Linked DNA regions of Xenopus tropicalis. The protein of the gene in region 1 interacts with the protein of each later gene in a pairwise test. Links are inferred from orthologs where the notes say so. Each region holds a gene or a part of one and is shown in the gene's direction. Other genes may lie near its edges.

Region 1 (3,500 bases):
CTTCTGCTATATGTCTCCTTTAACAAGTGATATGCCTGAAGTAAGCTTTATTATATCATATAGCTTTAGTTTGAAAATATGTAAAGAAACAGCTGAGAACAAAGCAGAATATTTGTTCAGTAAGTTTCCTTTACATGGCCTGTGTATGTTTACTATATGTATGTTTACTATAATTGTGGAGCAATTTAGTCTCAGCCTCATCTTGTGTGTATCTGCCCACCATGTTTACCAAATATAGGTCATGCCACAAGTTAAGATTTGCAAAAGGGTATTTCTGTACACCCATAATGTCTAAAAATTTTCCCAAGCAAAGACTAGGCGAAGCATGTTAAATTGGCTACAATGTACACAAGATGCGGATATTGTATCCTGGGTGGTATCAATGTAGCATTGTCTTTTTTTTTTTTTTTTCTTTATTCTATTTCTTTATTTATTTTTGTTAACCAGATATACTGCATAGTTATCAGTGAGGTTCTGGTTATAGATTTTTGAACTGTTTGAAATAAATTTCACCAAGACACTGACACAATGTTTTGGATGAAGCAAAAACAACAGCCTAAAACAAACTGTCCTCTTGTGAAATGTTTACTGAGCAAAATAGTTGGTGCCCAGTGCATCAAGATACACACAAAAACCAAAAATTATATGTGAAATAAATAAGAGAGTCTAATGAGCTAGCTCCGTAATTCAAAAATTACTGAAAATAAAAAGTTAAACACGTGAATACAGATCAAACAAGTACCTAAGTAAGCGCTGACCCGGGTGTGTATACCCCGGGTCCTTCACCATATAGACTTGCAGCCAGCTCACAATCAGAGGTCATAAAGTTGAAAAACAACTCACCATCGCCATTTTAGAAATGACTTCACCTGCTTATTTGTATTAATTTCAGCTTTTGTATTTAATAGGATGCAGAAACAGCCCTACATAAGAAAAATGAAATTGTGAATTCAGTACAAGCAAAAGGAGATCAGTTGACATCGGCACTAAAGCAAATAGAGGAAAGGTTTGTTGCTTCCACTAAAATCTGAAAAGCTCTCTAGGCTTCCTACAATTTACATCCTCAGAAATTAATATGATTTGGTTGTCAGAAGAAAAATAAAAAATAAAAGCTCTTTACCTGTAGCATTTGGGCTGTCCGTGGGCTCCATAACCATATCATGTGAATATTACCCATCCTTGACAATCTATATCAGGGGTCCTCAAACTACGACCTGCGGGCTGGATATGCCCCCAAGGTCATTTACCCGTCCCCTGTCCCCGCTGTGTCCTCACCCCTGGTGCCTCAGCGTGATTCTCGGCCCCAGCGCGTAAGGTCACTGCGTTCCACTGTCTGACGCTAATGAGGTGTCAAGGACCACGCTGAGGCAGACAAATTATAGCCAGGAGAGAGGGGGCAGTGGGGGGCCGGTGGGGAGCCGGTGGGGAGCCGTAGGTTGAGGACTAACTATAGTCAGGCCCCCCAACAGTGTGAGGGATCATGAACTTGGCCCCCTGTTTAAAAGGACCCTTGATCTATATAATCAACGTTTGGACAACTACATAGAAAATGTTCAACAACACTGCTTAACAGCCCTACATTGTGCTTTCAAAGCTGCAATGAAATGTTATATATTTTTAATCTGTGAGAAATTCCTCTCGTCAGAAATATCTTTTTCCCCTTGCTGTGTGCTGTGAGTTGCACCTCAGTGATAAATGAGGGTTCCTTCCACTACAGGAGTCCATGACTAAATATTACATGTATGATTTTATTAAGTATACCTTAGGAATACGTATGTATTAAATATATAGTATATATCATAAGTTGTTTTTTTATGTTACAGTGCCTTCCTTTCTAAAAGCTGCTTAAACTCAATTTTGTATTTGTCAGGCTGCAGAAATCTGAAAAGACTAGAGAAGCAGCTGAAGAAAATTGCAATAAAATGAAAATGGAGCATGGAGCCAAAATAGGATCCTTACAGCAGCAACTTGAAAAGCTTAATAAAACATGGTAAGGGCAGAGGGTTTCCCCACAAAATACCTAAGCCTTAAAGGACAAGGAAAAGTCACTTGGGGGTGCCAAAATGTTAGGCTTTCCTTGTACCCAGGGCTGGTGCCCCTGTTAGGAGAAAACAGCACCAGCCCGTGGTACCTGTAGCGAGCGCTTCCTCCTTACCGGCTTAGTTTTGCCGGTTAATTCCCAGGACCGGCGCATGCGCATTAGAGTGAAAAGCCGACTTCTCTGTTAAACTTCGTCTTTTTCACTCTACTGCGCATGCACGCACGGAAGCAGGAAGGAGGAAGCGATCGCAGCTACCCCGGGCTGGTGCTGTTCTCTCCGAACAGGGGCACCAGCCCGGGGTAAAAGGTAAGCGATTTAAGTCACTTGGGGGTGCCTAACATTTTGGCACCCCCAAGTGACTTTGCCTTTCCTTCTCCTTTAATTACAAAATCCATCTTTGAATAATGGCTTATTTACTTGAAGCATAAAAAAGGGAATCACAAAGATTAACCCTCACTGCATCTTCCCTTTTGCACCTTATCCAAAACTAAACATAATCATCAAAAGCCCTGATGCAGATTGCAGGCTTGGAAATTGCAGATGCCAATTAGCCTTACTATCGAAAGCCCCAAAACAAATTCCTGACCAATACGATGGCGGGTAGTTTGATAAATGCATAGCACCCAGTTAACCTACCTAACTATGTGTTAAGGCCAGTGGCACACAGTGTACCACCGTAGCCGAGACTACCCATGGGCAACCAATCTCCCCATGTGCCTCTGCCTGTAGCATGTAACAGTTTTGTTCTATAGACTGTTTAAAGGGATTCTGTCATAATTTTTATGGTGTACTTTTGTTCTAAATTACACTGTTTACATAGCAAACACTTCACTCTACAATTTAAAATCTTATTCTTGAACCAAAAATGTATTTTTTTTTTTTGTTGTAATACTGTTGTGTAGGCATCTCACTGTGCCTGAGTCTGAGCTTTCAGAAAGAGCCAGCAGTACACATTAGAACTGCTTTCAGCTGGCTGCTATCTTGCTACCTTCTTGTTGTTCTGCTGATTGGCTGCTGGCAGGGGGAAAGGGAGGGGGTGATATCAGTGTATCTTGCTGTGCAGCAGTAAAGTGTGACTGAAGTTTATCAGAGCAAAAGTCACATGTCTTCAGCACCCTGGGAAATGAAGATTATGGCAAGCCCCATGGGAAATTGCAAAACTAAATATGAAAAAAATCTGTGTTTTTGAAAAATGGATTCTGCTGGAGAAGCTCTGAAGGAAAAGGAAAGGAAAGTCATTTTGGCATTTTACTACCAATAGATTTGCCACAATAGTGCTAGCTAATATGCTATAATTATTCTGCAGAAAGCTTTACCATACCTGAGTAAACAGCCCTTGAAGCTCCCTCCGGTAGTTTAAGATAGCAGCTGCCATTTTAGCTTGGTCTTTGTAGCTTCCGTGCTGAAGCTCTAGCCTGGTAGCTCTTATCACACATTCGGATGGGAGGGTGAGTGAATT
Region 2 (4,287 bases), on another chromosome or scaffold:
ATATCCATTTAACTAAGTTTAGCAAATGTACAGATGATGGTGGACAGTAATGTATGTTAAATGTTAAAATATTTTTTTTTCACAATTGTCACTGACTGTATGTATGATGTATAAGCAAACTGTGTGAGATAAGGCTTAGCTGATCCACGGGCAGAAACCTGGGATGTGAGTGGACAGGGCCTTCCTTTCAAAGCATTATATGGAGAAATCAGGTCATAACAAGCTTATCCATGGCATGAGAGCTGCATGCATAATAAAGCTATTGTTAGAGAGCCTGGCGGTTATTATAAAGAACAGAATCAGTATTGTTGAGATAATCAGTTTTTATAAAACTATTTTAGGCTTAAGATTAACCGTCAGAAAATTCATATGAATATATTATTGTTAATCTGAATCATGAAAAACACTGGAGGGGGATCTGATGGAGTTGTTTCTGGGCACTGTCTTATGGCAATCATGTCTCCCCTTTGTTTATAAATGTTTGTGGCCTGGGAGACTATGGGAGGGGAACCCCAGCTACACAGCAAGCTACAGGTACAGTTTGGTTCTGTCCTTGGTCTGTAATTGCTGCTGGTTTGTGTTGTAACATGGAAATACATAGACACTGGAATTTGTTTTAGGACACATTAAAGATGTAGAATGAGGCTATGCCAGTGTTGCTCTCTAGTAGTATCTCTAAAATCCCCCAATTTCTTTTAACATTCTAAAAAAGGTTGTTGGGCCACAAGTGGTTGATCCTTCAGGCTAAGCAACGTTCCCTGTGGCTTTTCAGTGTTATTTGTAAATGTAATTTACTGTACATTTCTGTCTCCTAAAGCCTTGTAGCAGAAGGTCAGTGTTGGAATATTAAAGCCATAAGGGCAGAGATAGAAGGGACAGTACCAGTTATAGATACAAGTAATCCTAAAACCGTTGTAAATACGTAAAGAATATCGTAAAGTTGCTTAGATTTTCAATTTTCTCTTTAGTTCAAATGTTTCCGTATGGGTTTTCATCAGGATACTCAGTCAGAGACTTCTCCTACACACATATTAGAGCAGTGATCCCCAACCAGTAGCTCAGGAGCAACATGTTGCTCCCCAACCCCTTGGATGTTGCTCCCAGTGGCCTCAAAGCAGATGCTTATTTTTAAATTTCTGGTAAGGAGGCAAGTTTTGGTTGCATAAAATCAAGTATAATGCCAAACAGAGCCTTCTGTAGGCTGCCAGTCCACATAGGGGCTATAAAGTAGCCAATTATTGCTCTTATTCCTACTCCTAGAAACCTTTTTCCTGCTTGTGTTGCTCCCCAACACTTCTTCCATTTAAACGTTGCTCATGGGTATAAAAGGTTGGGGATCCCTGTATTAGGGGACTCACAGGTCCTATATATCCCACTGAACGGATTGTTTTCCTCCCCCGGCCAGTGAAAGTCTTTGTGACAGCTGCTCGATTTCACTGCAGATTACGGTAGGGGTTGGGGCTGCGCCTCTAGGCAGGTGATTACGGGAGCTGCTGATGCCAATGATGAGTCAGAGTGTTTGGTGCTGATGTTGCTGCCATTTCATCAGCTCTGGGAGCCCAGCATCCTCTGTGCGGCGTCTCTTCTCCATCTTCCCACGGCCGGAGTGTGCTGCTCGTCGTACTCAGGGCCATCGCAGCCTCTCGCAGCGACTGGTCGCAATTACCGGGGGCGCAGCCGCTGATCGGCCGTGTTGCTGCTGGAGAAAGAGCTTGCGGGCCTGCGCTGGATCCGGCCGCGGTTGGGCATTCGGTTCATGGGAATAACTGCGAGTGATGGGCCTTAATGTGTCTGGCTGCCGGGCTAAGGCGAGCTGGAAGGCTAATAGAATTGGGTGATTGATCTGCTCTGGGAGACTGCTGCCCTTTCCCTCCTGCTTTGTACTGCAATGTGCACAGCACCCAGCCCAGGGCCGCTTCTACCCCACTAGGCTGCTTGGCATCTGCTTAGATTCGGTAGCCTCGCATAGACTGTTCGGCTGTACTGCTGGAAGATGGAGGCAGCCTAAAGTTACCATTTAGCAGCCTGTCAATGATGGAAGAGTGAGGAATCCACGGTGCCATTCTCCCTTTGTGCTAAAGGAGCTTTTCATCTTTTAAGAATATGGGCAGTTTGAGGACAAGCTGTGTATAGTTCAACCCCCACACAGCCTGGGGCCTGTTTACCCTCTCTCTAGAACTTACATAGCTGTCTATTAGCATCATTACACCTATCATGCTGCCAGAGGGCAGGAAGAAATCTTCATTAGGACTCCATAACCACTGACTGTAATTAACTCTGAAGTAACAAAAAATAGTCATTGTGGAGCCTTATTTGTTAGAATATAGACTTTTAAAGAGCTTTAAACATTTCTGTTGTACTCCTGGTCTAACACAAGGGCAAATTCTAAAGGCCACTGGATAAAATAGCATTGCTAATTGTAAGAGTAAAGAGCTTTACTGCAAAGGCCATAGTGTTTGCCCCCTAACCACATAATTACATGCGTTAGCCCAAGATCTTTGTTTATACAGCATATAAATGGTGTAGTCTCTTCCTTTTGGAAGCCTTGGTTGTGGTCCTTGAGGAGCAGTGGATACCCAGAGGTCTCCTTGCCTCCTGAAAGCAACCAGGACATCTCTGCTATAAGCTCCTATACATTGCCAGGAAGTTTGGCTTAGAGGGTCTAGAACTGTGGAAATATAGAACAATGGAAGCAATTTGGCTATACCAGTTTCGTCTCATTGTCATTGGAGACTCAACTGTGGGTAAATCGTGCCTCATTCGAAGGTTCACAGAAGGCCGCTTCGCTCAAGTCTCTGACCCAACTGTAGGAGTGGATTTCTTCTCAAGGCTGGTCGAGATTGAACCAGGCAAGCGGATCAAGCTACAGATCTGGGATACAGCTGGTCAGGAGAGATTCAGGTATGGTTGCCAGCTTTTCTTTGGGTGTTCTCACCTCCACCAGTCAGGTCCCAAAGTGGTTAGAATGGGGTTATAGGGATTTGTGGGATAAAAATGATCGGTGTGTGCAATCTAAATAAAGAGTGAGTATGGGCATACGATAGGGAAATTAAATATCATTGTCAAAATGCAAGTGTCTTTTGGAAAAATACTTGGAACAGTTTTCCTGTTTTACCAACTCAATACTAGCAAAACATAGGTGTACCTTCTGTAATTTCTGATGCTGTTATTTGGGTAGACTCTTCCTAAAACCCTTGTAGCAAAATAGGCTTTGGCCAGATGTCTTACTAAACATACACAGCAAAATGAACCCAAGTTAAATGATAGGTTGTATTTTCTTTTTAGTATTGGCAGCTAATTCCTGTCTCATAAATAAAGAGAAAGCTTTTGTTTGTCAGGGTGTGGTGGTCTATGTAACAGTCACTCATTTGGTTTTCTTTTAGACAGGTTTCATTTCTCTATCCTTTTCTGTCTCCTGTGCATTCCTCTATGTTCCCTTCATTCCTATCTGCATATAGAACCAAACCCTGCTCCCATATTTAAAAAATGAAAATGTAATAAATGCTTCATAACACTGAAATAAGAAACTTTCTAAATATAATTAGTTGAATATTCTCTATTCCTGAAATCAAGTTTATGTCCCTCTCAGCAGAATGAAGAGAAACAGATGGGGAGAGTGAAGATAAACTTGATTATTTCAGAAATGGTATAGAATTTTCAGTTGATTATATTCAGAAAGTTTCTTATTTCAGTATGAAGAAGCTTATGTTACATTTTTATTTTTGTGATAGTTTCCCTATAGTTTCCCTTTAGTATAGTTTCCCTTTCTATAGCGGCATATTGTTGCTACAAAACCAAGGTAAAGCTTCAGCACATAGCTGCACATTTCCTGATGCCTACATATCTCACCGTACTTGTTGGTGCAAATCCTGGATTTGTAGGGATCAGTTATCCAATAGTAAGAAGAAGATTAAATATATTGAGTCTTGAGCCTTTACAAATATAACTGCAAGTTGAATTGGTACCAGTCATAATCCAGTGCAGAGGCAGTGCCCTACTGAAAAAAAATTGTGGAATACAGAGGGACCCAGTGGTAGGACTAGGAAAAGAAACCTATACAGTGCTAAAAAGTTTTGTTTTCTAAAGACAAACACATGCTTGTCTATCTATCAGTGTCTAAAACCTTGGTTGGGCTTCCCAAACTAAAGGCCAGTTAGGGTGAGATTTAAGGAGAATGCGGAATGTCTATTTGCCCAGTAATCCAGCTTGGAGGTAAGTGTGAGTGTGAGACTTGGAAAAACATATTTGCAGGCCTGGACATTCTCAGATCTATGGCTGATACTGCAG
Region 3 (4,267 bases), on another chromosome or scaffold:
ACGTATAACATCTATTTACACAGGCAAGTCCCCTCTACTGGATACCAATGGCCGGTCACTCTGCCCAAACACCTGTAGGCCCGCACCATGTCTGTACGGCCAGCAAATAAGGGTTGAGGCAAAAGGCTCCAACTGTTTAGAAGCCAGGAATGCGAGTTCCAATATAAATCCCTTTAGGCAATGTAGCGCTCATGCTTTATCCTTTCCTCTTGGGTCTTCCAAGCAATGTCCAGCTTCCACCTGAACTTGTGCCAATCCTCCTTGGCCGCCCAATGTCCCCAGAGCATCAGGCCCAGTCGGTGACTCTTTCCTCCTCTGGAAGGACACCCCAGTTTGGAGATGGGACATCCCTGGCCAGCCAGTTGAAATCATCTACTTGGTTCCAATTATTATTGGCCCTGTCTAGGCCGGACGCCTCGTAGTCGCCCAGGATCCCCTCGTAGGACCAGGTGAAGGGGGCAAAGTGCAGTTGGGCGCAGTCCTCGATGATGGCCCTGCTGGTGACGTGAATGTAGAAGCGACAGCGCTCGGTGCTGTGAGTGCGCAGTTGTTGGCAGGGAAAGGCAAACAGGCAGTCGCGACAGTCGTCCACAAACACCGAGGTGCAGACGGGGCCACACAGCACCTTACAGCCCCGCAGGCCCCGGATATGCAGGGTGGCGGGGGAGCCCCTCAGGGTGACGGTGCAGTCTTGCAATTGGCTCAGCGCAACATCTCTCCTCTGGATCTCAGCTGCCTCCATACACAGGGCCTGGCCTGAGAGTCCGCGCAGCCCACACAGGGCCTGGGGCTCCGCCGCTTTGGGTTTGGCCTGAGGTTCCGCAGGGGTGGGATTACTTGCAGGGGTGGGATTCCCCGCAGGGGTGGTATTACTTGCAGGGGCCGCCTCTTTCCTGCGGGATTTGAAGGCAAACTTGCCCCGGGGCTGCAGAGCTTGGCGTTTGGCCCCCAGAGCCCCCTGCATTCGGGCCAGTGAGTCCTGGGCCTGGCGGATATCATAGGGCGGGAGGAACATGAGGCTGTCATTCAGAAGCTTCTGCAATCGCTGCAACCGAGCCGCAGCCTCCCCCAGGGCCCCCGACTCCTCGCTGCCCAACAGCTCCTCGATCCCCGCCCTGTCAGAGCCGAAAGAGGCGATAAAATGGGCGCTCCTCTCCTCCAGCACAGCGCGGCCCTCCTTCTCCTGCCGCTTCCTGTCCGCCTCCCGCTGCCGCTCCTCGTCCCGCCTCTGTAACCGCTCAGGGAGGCGCCCCCGCTGGGCCAGCGACTCTCCCTCTAACTCCGGCTGCATCTCCGGCTCCATGGCGCTGTCTGCGGCGCACTGCCTTCTGGGAGCCGGTACCTCGCAGTCGGCTGATGTTTGCGTCATGAGGTAAAACCAGGCGTAAAAGTACCGCCCCTCTCTGTGATTATTGGTCAACGTCATCAACTATGCGACAGAACCCGGAAGCCAATCGGAGAGGGAGGCGCACACGTGGTTAGAGTGCAGAGATGGGGAAGCGGAGGAAGCCGCGGAGGGAGGAGGCTGGCAGCGCCCTGAGCAAGAAACAGAAGAAGCACCTGAAGGAATTTGGGGAGCAGCACCCCTTCTATGATGCGTGAGTAGCCTCGGAGCATATCGTCCGGGTATGGGGATGGGATGGGATGGCGGGGACTCAAACCTTCTCTCTTAGAGTCTGACATTTCCCAGGCAAACACACCATGGCCAATGCAAGAGTTAAAATAGCAGCTTGAGTGTCAGGAAAATAAAGTAAAAGGGGGGACACATAGTAGTGCCCCCCCCTGCCCTGCCCTGAGTAACCACTTGGGGGCGCACATGGAACAGCAATGATACATAACATTATAGGCCAGAGTTACTGTTATTGCCTTGGGGAGGGGACAAAGGGATCAATGACATGTTCAGATAGAGGAGGGGTAGCTGGGAAGGTGAATATAAATATTGGGCAGAATCTGGAAATGGAGAATCAGCCCAGAGTGTCCCGGTGTCCCGGTAACTATACTCATGTTACTTATCCTGTTCCCAAATGTCCCGATATCAAGGGGAATGTTGGGGGCACATACAGGTGTAAGAGCAAGAAGAGTAGAGACAATGTTGTGCCTTTAGTTAATATATTGGATGTAGAGTGTAAGCTCTTTTGGGCAGGGCTCTCTTCCCCTCTTGTATCGGTTATTGATTGCTTTATATGTTACTCTGTATGTCCAATGTATGTAACCCACTTATTGTACAGCGCTGCGGGATATGTTGGCGCTTTATAAATAAATGTTAATAATAATAATAATAATAATAATTGCACTGAGTGGTATTTTGCAGTATTATCAACATAATGTATAATGCCTTATGGATAGTCAGGGGCCACATTAGAGGCCCTAAAGGGGACATGAGTAGAAGATATATATATATAGTAAGTGTTACCCTGCAGGAACATAAAACCGAGTAAAACACTGATGTTACAAATTGTAACAACTTCTCCACAGCTTACAGACAGCATACAGACAGCATGCAGGAACTACATAACCCACAATGCATTGTACTGTGATGTTCCTTTCCTTATTGACATCAGTGTGCAGGGAATTGTGGGATTGGGAGGATGCAGGCTGAAGGCAGGCTGAGGACATTTTATTTGAGTCTCCAAGTAGCCAGCCGAATCAGCAGGGGAACAGGGGGCGGGGCTTAGGGAACTGTTCCAAACCATATTATAACATTAAAAATCAAGAAAAGGCTGCATATTTTTTGGGTGGAGTTCCCCTTTAAACAGCTAGGTTAGTAGGTACTTTGAGGTTCAGGGGGTTGGTACAGACTACTGATTGTATGTCTTGGTGGGCCCACCAGCTTGTTATTAAACATTGTAAATCTGATCCCTTTTCTCTTTGCAGAGTCTCCAAGAAACAAGAAACAACCCAGGTGGTTCAACTGGTGAGTGACTGTAATGCCTGAGCCTTCCAGTTTAAACAAGAATGTAGCTGTTGCCAATATATACTGCAAATGTCTATTTAAAACCTTCTTTAAACATAAATCACAATGGAAGAGATGGGTGGAAATTTCAATTTACGTTAAAACACTTTAAACCTACTTTATGGACAGATACAGAATTATAGTTTGTGGCTTTACTTCCCCTTAGCTTTATATTTCAACTAATTATGGGTGTAGAACTGTAATATCTATGTGAAGGCATAAGGGAGTATGTGTGTGATCTTTCATGTTACTACCCAGCCATGTTAGTGCAGGTATGGGATCCGTTATCCGGAAACCTGTTATTCAGAAAGCTTCAGATTAAGGGAAGGCCATCTTTCTCTTATTCTCTGCACATGATCCCAACTAAGAAATAATTAATCCTTATTGGGGGCAAATAAATTCTGTTGGGTTTATTTCATGTTTAAATGATTTTTTAGTAGACTGAAAGGGGTTGTTCACCTTTGAGTTAACTTTTAGTATTATGTATGAGAGTGATATTCTGAGACAATTTGCAGTTGGTCTTCATTTTTTATTTGTAGCTTTTTTAGTTACTTCATTTTCAGTTCAAGAGCTCTCCAGTCTGGAGTTTCAGCAGTTATTTGGTTGCTGGGTCCAGATTACCATAGCAACCAGGGAGTGGTTTGGATGAGAGACTGGTATATGAATAGGAGAGGGGCTGAATAGAAAAGAAAGTTACAAAAAGTAAAAATAACACTGTAGCCTCACAGAGTAATAGTTTTTTTTTGAGCTGAGGTCAGTGACCCCCATTTGAAAGCTGAAAAGAGTTGGGACAAGATGGCAAATAATTAAAACAACTATAAAAATAAATAATGAAGACCAATTGAAAAGTTGTTGGAATAGGCTATTCTATAACGTACTAAAAGTTAGCTTAAAGGTGAACCACCTCTTTAAGGCATGCAGATCCAAATTACAGAAAGATCCCTTATCCAGAAAGCCCAGGAATACATTCTAGATAACAGAAACCTGTACATTGCTTTTATATAAAATACAAATGCGTTGCTGATATTTCTAGTTACTATAAGTCTGACTTGTCTGTATTTTAGCCTGAGAGTTCGGAGGATGAATCCCGAAGTGAGAGCGAGGCAGAGAGTGATCCCGAGCCGGTTAACATGTACCACAAGCTGCTCGCCACCTTGAATACTGTGTCTGATGAAGAGGAAGAAGAAAGTGATGATGAGGAAGAAGAAGCCCTAGAAGAAGCAGAAGAGGAAGATGAGGCAGAAGAGGTGGGTGAGGAATCGGAAGCAGAGGATGAGGATAATGAAGATGAGAGTGACGGGGAAGGCCACGGGC

What was found. The genes of interacting proteins can lie anywhere in the genome.
Region 2: the proteins of rufy1 (region 1) and rab39b interact in binary tests that used the Homo sapiens proteins (3 or more experiments, as listed by UniProt). The two-hybrid records come from large-scale screens. The link is inferred for Xenopus tropicalis from reciprocal best matches to the Homo sapiens genes RUFY1 and RAB39B.
Region 3: the proteins of rufy1 (region 1) and utp25 interact in binary tests that used the Homo sapiens proteins (3 or more experiments, as listed by UniProt). The link is inferred for Xenopus tropicalis from reciprocal best matches to the Homo sapiens genes RUFY1 and UTP25.

Annotation. Positions count from the first base shown.
Region 1 is NC_030679.2:31,726,735-31,730,234, forward strand, and holds part of rufy1 (RUN and FYVE domain-containing protein 1), read left to right. Parts: intron 1-908; coding exon 909-1,006; intron 1,007-1,870; coding exon 1,871-1,990; intron 1,991-3,500. UniProt on the Homo sapiens protein: Activating adapter involved in cargo sorting from early/recycling endosomes. Regulates retrieval of proteins from endosomes to the trans-Golgi network through interaction with the dynein-dynactin complex.
Region 2 is NC_030684.2:50,653,971-50,658,257, reverse strand, and holds the start of rab39b (ras-related protein Rab-39B), read left to right. Parts: upstream 1-1,487; 5' UTR 1,488-2,686; coding exon 2,687-2,901; intron 2,902-4,287. UniProt on the Homo sapiens protein: The small GTPases Rab are key regulators of intracellular membrane trafficking, from the formation of transport vesicles to their fusion with membranes.
Region 3 is NC_030681.2:15,264,843-15,269,109, forward strand, and holds the start of utp25 (digestive organ expansion factor homolog), read left to right. Parts: upstream 1-1,467; 5' UTR 1,468-1,491; coding exon 1,492-1,598; intron 1,599-2,874; coding exon 2,875-2,914; intron 2,915-4,017; coding exon 4,018-4,267. Other genes in the region: tbcc (tubulin-specific chaperone C), read right to left, coding at 287-1,426. UniProt on the Homo sapiens protein: Component of the ribosomal small subunit processome for the biogenesis of ribosomes, functions in pre-ribosomal RNA (pre-rRNA) processing. Essential for embryonic development in part through the regulation of p53 pathway.